Bombyx mori: one gene and its partner. The protein of the gene in region 2 purifies or fractionates together with the protein of the main gene of each other region. This does not show direct contact. Links are inferred from orthologs where the notes say so. Each region holds a gene or a part of one and is shown on either strand. Other genes may lie near its edges.

Evidence for each region. The genes of interacting proteins can lie anywhere in the genome.
Region 1: the proteins of ras suppressor protein 1 (region 2) and integrin-linked protein kinase purify together in Homo sapiens (affinity purification with mass spectrometry; 9 studies listed by BioGRID and IntAct, counting the BioPlex papers as one, with this or other methods). This does not show direct contact. The link is inferred for Bombyx mori from reciprocal best matches to the Homo sapiens genes RSU1 and ILK.

What each region holds. Positions count from the first base shown.
Region 1 is NC_085117.1:15,195,720-15,198,943, forward strand, and holds the end of integrin-linked protein kinase, read right to left. Parts: intron 3,014-3,224; coding exon 2,825-3,013; 3' UTR 557-2,824; downstream 1-556. UniProt on the Homo sapiens protein: Scaffold protein which mediates protein-protein interactions during a range of cellular events including focal adhesion assembly, cell adhesion and cell migration.
Region 2 is NC_085115.1:769,726-773,881, forward strand, and holds the start of ras suppressor protein 1, read right to left. Parts: upstream 2,844-4,156; 5' UTR 2,797-2,843; coding exon 2,646-2,796; exon of another isoform or gene 2,358-2,645; intron 2,264-2,357; exon of another isoform or gene 1,952-2,263; coding exon of another isoform or gene 1,801-1,951; intron 1,358-1,800; coding exon 1,067-1,357; intron 745-1,066; coding exon 662-744; intron 1-661. UniProt on the Homo sapiens protein: Potentially plays a role in the Ras signal transduction pathway. Capable of suppressing v-Ras transformation in vitro.

The sequences.
Region 1 (3,224 bases), on a different chromosome or scaffold from region 2:
ATAAGGCATCCCGTTATATTGATACTGTATAACTAACTGAAAATTAACCTATATCTATTTAACTAGGTAGCTATCACATAAAGTTAAAACAACTTTCTAAAAACATCACCAAAGACGTATTTGTTTCTACATCAACTTAATAGTAAAATATGTATTTATCTTGCCTTGATCACAAACGTGTATGAGAATGATAATAGATTTATTTCTGTAAGTTTTGTAATTTTATAAAATTCAAGAAAAGAAAAAAAAAAAATTTAATTTGATGTTTTTTATTTCCCACTCCTTGACATAATAATATTATGTTGGTTAGAAGCCTCTAAATATGTGTAGAATCCTTAAAAGATTGCGGAATAATGCGGAACACAGTTATTGTTGATCCAAGAACAAGTGCGTACTACGCACTGAAGCTCAATCAAATAGTATATTATGAGCAAATCGTACTGCAATTACTTACAATTGTTTTTTTTTCGTTCAATTTATTAACTGTCTTCGTGTAATGGGAATCCCACATATTTAATACTAGAGGGGAAAAAAGGAAAAAAAGCAAATCTGCAGCTATTTTAAAAAAACAACCATATATTGAACATTTTATTACATAAAAATATGTATTAGTTTTAGTTTAGTTATAGTTAGTTGTTAAATTACACAACTGTATTATTATAAAATTGCCATTTTTTTTTGTTGCCGAAGACAACAAAACAAAATATATATATTATGATGGGTAGTTACCTCTATGTATCGCCACCGGCTATACCGGAGACGGTCAGATCTAGAGTGTAAAGTACCTTATCTCGTTTGAAGAGAGACATTTAAACCACTATTTAGGGTCATCAAGAACATCGATGCGTGGTCAACTAAGAAACCAACCCACTCCCTCTACTCCCTCGACTCTCCCGGGGAACTGATCTGGCTTTTTGCTTAAGGAAGCAACATAGCGCGTGATATTATACAAAAAATGGTGCGCGTACAACTTGGTACACGTGAATGAAGTGAAACTTCTTTTTCGATGTGTAGTATTGTGGTTTTCTTCATTCATCCTTAAATCAGATTACTCTTGTAATAGGGAATGCTGTGTATAAGAGATGCGACATCTTCAACAATTATATCATAGATAGAAAAATAAATATACTGGGTGTTAGCAGACCACTTCCGAAAATGAAGACAGACGATAGTAGTAATGACACCTTTCATGATGGGACGGAAAAAATCAATCCTGATTTAAAAAAAAATCATATTTGTAAAACTTCTTACTAGCATTATTTACGCTCCAGTCCTATGTTAGTACAGCTAAATGAAACGATAGTTTCATGAAAAATACGTTACTCTACTAAAAAAAAACAGAAATGAAATATTTTTTTTCCGTCCCATCATCAAAGGTGTCATTAGCACTATTGTCTGTCTTCGTTTTGCGGAAGCGATCTCCTAACACCCAGTATTTTTTTTTAAATACTTCATTAAAATATTAGACGCTACTCGTTGCTAACGCTCGCGCTGGCCTTTAACAAGTATACTACGCGCATGCGTTCGAGTGCCACTCATTCACTCTCGCTCTGTCTCTTTCTATTCCCCCTCCCCAGGAGCGTTAAACGTTTAACGCAACCTTGTTGGAAGTCGCATTAGAAGTTTCACTTCAAAATACACGTTATGTTTCTTGGACCAGTGCCACCCATCGTAAGTTGGTGAAGCTATAGCAAAAAAAAACGTAGCTTTAAAATATCGGATAACTAGCGGGCGTACAGACCCGGTTAAACAAAAAAACACACATTAATTTTATAATATATTAGGATTAGATTACTACAAATCAAGACCTCATTAACAGTATTAAGGCACGCTTATGTCACATTTCACATTTGAATAACATTTTAAGATACATTTATAAGCTATTATTGTAAGACAGAGATTCTCTAAATAAATACTATTTAATAGTTATTTGACAAGACAACATTGAAGGCATGAGAGGCATTGATGATGATTGACATGACATGATTTTAACTTATCCAATAGAACATTTCAAATTTCAATTGCTTCTAATGCATATAATATGTATGTATATAAATCTTTGTAGACCATTTTTTGACAAGTTCTATTTAGATAATTCATCTGAAAATAATGTCTGTTAGTTGACCTGAGTATATTATGTATTTATAAATACAAAAAAACTCAAGACGAATCTCTATGCGAATTTTCCTTCATTCAACGTGATGCTTGGATCTAGAAAAATGGCACTTATTTATAAAATTAATATTGACCTCGGCGGGTATGAAATATATTATTATTACGTTAATTTCATAATACATATATATTTTTCAAAATACACCATTTAATATTATAAAGCTTACTTATTTTAGTATTATATATTTTAGCACCGATTTAAATATTAGCATTTATAAAACATTTCTCGTGTTAATGTTACATTTTCATTACCATTAAAACATAAATCAAAATAATCTGAACACAATCTAAATAGAACGATTACGCAACAAAAAATTAAAAATAATGGCTGCTAGAAAAACCTTTAAGTGCTTTCATGTTTTTGTTACACGTATTAAACAATTGTTTTAGTTGTTCGGTAATACGTAGGATTTTTTACATAATGAAGCCATTGGGTATTGTATTATTTTTAAATAGATAAGGCAATGACTTTATTGTCAATTTAAAAATATATTAGATCTGGTCAACGAGTATTAACAACACATGACACATCTCTATAGTGTTTAATCTTCAAGATGCCATTGCCTTAATGAAGTAAAAAAAAACGTATCAAAACCATTTGAGGAAAAAAAGTTACCAAATTAAAACGGATTAATTGTGTCGTTCAACAAAATCAGCGTTTCATCTTCTCTAAAATCGGTAGGATCATTTCGAAAGATGGTCGTTTCCCGGGATCCTCGTTCATGCAGATCTTGATGAGTTTCGAGATGTGAGGCGACACGCCCGGAGGTATGCTTATACGAAGACCTTCAAGCGCTATCTTCATGCCGCACTCCATTGGTGACAGATCCGCGAATGGTATCTGCGTATAAAATTAATACGTTTTTGAGAGAAACTAATCATGATTTTGCGAAGTCGTATCACAAAACATTTTTCAGTCGCATCACAAAATGGTTTTGGCTATCCCTAGATTTTAGACTCCCAATTATATTTATGTTATCACAGGAGCACGTCTGAAGTCGTCGCGCCCTAAAGGATAAGACGTCCGGTGCATACGTGTTGAGCGATGCACC
Region 2 (4,156 bases):
AAAGAATCCTAGATGAGTCGATTTGTAAACTAAAACAGCTTCTATTAATTCCTTCACTAAATATAGCACTCTTAAGAAAATTCTCTTGAAACATAACAATAAAAAACAAGATTTGGTCTTATATTAAAAATAGATATTTTTAAGACAATCTATTTTCATACAATGATATCCCCCAATTGTGTATTTTTCATTACCAACTTCTTCAATAACATTGTTTTTTCCATAATTAATCGCTGCTCGCCTCGAAGGGCTAATTCAGCTATGTACGTTTTGGCACATGAGCTCATCAGGCTCAACCGAACTTGTTAATACTTGTATCGAAATTGTGACTGTCTGTGAAGATCCGGCGAAAACTTAGCAGATTGTGTCTATAGGTTAAGTTACAAGTGGAACTTTTCAAGAAGTTTAACTAGAACTAAAACACTAATTGGATCGGAAGGATCTGACACGCTTAGGGCGACGAAAGCTGTGCATTGTGCCATCGTCTGTGTAGTATATATCAGCATGCTGCTTGGATGCAATTTCCGCTTATAGTTTAGATATTATAGGTAGCAGACTCAAATATCTCAGGTCTGTAAGAGGTTATTTAATGGAGTGGTCTATAAAGCTCACTAATCATGGGTAAATTAAAAGTTTGACTAATGATTAAAAGAATGCTTACAATTTGTAGATTCTTCAAATTTCCAATTTCAGGTGGTAGAAATTCAAAATCATTGTCACCCAAATACAAAGCACGGAGACTGTCTGTGAATAGTGAATTAAAAGTACTATTTAGTCAATCATCATGATTGGTGGTGAGATGTATGTAATTGTATAGTAAACTTTTGATGTATATCTATGGAATTGCAGGTATCAAATCACATTTGATACTAGGTGGAGCCAATTATCTACCATACAAATTTTGACCTACATCTACATCCATTATTGCTATCAACATCAAAAAAGATTCACACTATAGCCTTTGTACTTAGAGATAAAGTGTTCAATAGTTGTTCCAGAGACGAATATTCAACTGGGTGAGAAAACCAATAGAGTTAGTGATTTTAAATGATTTTAAATAACTTACCCATAATAAAGAAGTTCCCAGGTAATACTTTTTCATTCAAATTATTGTATGTTAGATCCAATATCTCTAGCACAGGGAAGGAACCAAAGCCTCTTGGCAAGTTATACAGTTTGTTTAATGAAACATTGAGGATCCTTAACTTGGGTAGTGATGATAAGCTGACTGGAAGCTCTTGAATGTTGTTATTGGCCAAGTTTAGAATTTCTAAGTTGCTCAAGTTGGCTAGTGCAGCAGGCACTACAGAGATTTTGTTGTGGCTTAGGGACAGACGAGTGATGTTCTCCAGAGAAACTGTAAAAGATAATAGATTTGGGTAGATTTTTATTTGAATTTAATATTTGCATACAAAGTCATCACAGAAATAGTTTTCTCATTGTATACTTTGGGCTACATAACTTTTTTCTTATCATACATTGATCTGTAAGCACAAGTTCGGACACACATGGAATACTGCTCACATCTCTGGTCAAACCATCTGTTTCTATACAAAAGAGGGCCATGTTGTTGATAATATTATTCACATAGACAATTTGTAGTCTTTGGGTTTACAGAAGGAATTCCCTCTAAAGTAAATTGTCTTAAACAAGTAAATTGTCTCTGTTTTTTGTACTGTATGCTCCTTGGAAAGTGCTCTAAGAATTTGTTCATTTACTTTTTACTATTGTATTGCCCACCACAAGAACACAATTCAAATATACTATGTGGTACCACTGCATTCATCCACAATGCATTACCAGACATATTTCCTGCTATTTTGTATCCAGCTTTAGAATAAATTATCCTCCACCATTTTTCCCTTCCTTCCTGTTCTACTTCAAATGAGGTTTGTGGAGTGCTCAATAGTATGGACCAGTATGGCTGTTGCCCTATAATTACTGAGCACATGCACAACAGTGACTAATTGCCTTTAGGTGGGCCCTATGCACAAATCTTCTAATATTAAATGGTTAATAAGCACATAAGACACTAAGATGTTTGTTTCCTTCAGATAAAGCACTGCAATGTTATTCTTTTATTTCTATTTCTTCATCAGTACATTCAATCACATAGTTTCTTGAAACCCATAACTGAGTAGACTGATGGTTCTAATGTAGTGTGGAACTTGCAAACATTTTTCAATATTTCATGGCTTATTTTAAGCGTAAGTTTGATCCTGTTCCGTCTTAAGGCGTAGGAGTTTCATTTTGAATTATAGGTCTGCAGTGATGTCATATTTTAATTAGTACTTCAATTTTTTACCTTATATTACATATTATTATGTTTAATATAATGTTAACATTGGAGAATTTACATCCAAATGAGGTTTAAATTAATATTTCATGTTTGTTGTCTTCAAAATATTTATTATAGATGAGTTGCAACGGTTATGTAGGCGAATACACTTATTGTAAGAATACTTCAGTTATTTATTAGTTTTTAAAATTAGCTAACTGTAGAATAAATTAAAATTCGAAAGTATACATTAAGCTTAGGTTTCGATCTAAGCTTTTTTATTGAAACATAGATGTAAAAATTGAAACGAACTAAAAATATTTAGTTAAAAAAAAAAGATACAAAACAGGTTTTATTTGACACTCACATAAGCCTGGAATCTCTTCGAGACTAGATATTCCTTTGTCGACTAAATCGATTTCCGGATTATTTATTTCTTTGGCTTCTTCAATAACTTTTTTAGCTTTCGACATCTTGCCTGTGTTTGGAATACAAGATACTGGGGGTTGATGACTCATTATCAAACAGATGGTTTTCCTACGCCCAAACAACAATCGCGTTTCAAACCTTAAAATTAACATTGTTAAGCATCAACCTTCAAATCCTGTTTTTTTTTTATTTACCATAATATTTTCTATTTGACCGGGTATTACTTGTCTAATATATTTATATATCGTAGTCTGTTAAATATCCCGATAGACTGTTAGAATATCACTACAAAAAGATGAAAAATATTGAAAAATCAATCACTACTTTCTTCTTTTAGGGCTTTCGCCTCTTTACGAAAGAAAGATTAAACATGATCAAGAATTTGAGACATTTCTTACTATATATATTTTAACATTTATGGTATTTTTATTTTTTACATTGTAATAATTTTCAAATTTGAAATGATTATTTCCCTCGTTTCTTCTCTTTCTCTTTCTATGTCTGTCTCTTTCTAACATATGTTAGAAGAATGAATAATTAACGCTCTGGAACATTAATTTATACCATTTTGCTTTGGTAAGTTGTTGCTTCTTGATCTTGACAAAAAAATGAAGAAAAGTCGTACATATACCTAGTTATTTTAGTAAATTTTCTAGTTATTTTTGGTATAATTGTTTGTCCCCTCTCCCATGGATATTACAAGGTTAATTGAGCCATTGAAGCCGACTTTAAGACAAAATGTTATCATTGCATTGGGCACTATCAGCTATTCCATGTTTTAAATAAGAATGCTCTGCTTCACCACAGAAATAGGCTCGATGGGTTTACATTTTATGTACATTTTACAAAACATTTTTAATAAATATCAATTTCATTTCATAATGGTAGAAGACATACAGAATTAAATTTAGCTAGACCTGAAAAAATTAAATCTACAACATTATTTATATAAATCAAACCCCTATTAAAGTTTACGGGGGAAATTTTGTCGAGAGTATACTAAGAGGCTATACGAATTGTATTATTTCGTTGGTTTTGAAGTTTCTTTACACTTCTTCTTCTTCTTGCTTCGGTTTCCTCAATACTGAGGGTCGTGACCACCTCCTCGCAACAAGAGCTTATTACGGACCATTCCATGCCATTATCTGCCGCCTTTACACTTAAACATTTTTGATAATTATGGTAACAATAACTATGCTCGAATTTACGAAATGCGAGAAATAAAATCGATGGTTCTCGAGTTCTCTTAAAAAATCTACTGAGTTTCCAAACTTTTTTAGAATTTATTGGGAGGTTATTTTAATTCATCAATTTGATATCTTTGTGATTAATTTTTCTTTCATTCAACAGATATGATTTCGGTCTTTTTTTTAAAGTTTAGTTGTATAGACTGCGTTCCTTTTGCCTTGTACAATATCCAAGAAAGAAAAAGAAATTGACGTTAGACGT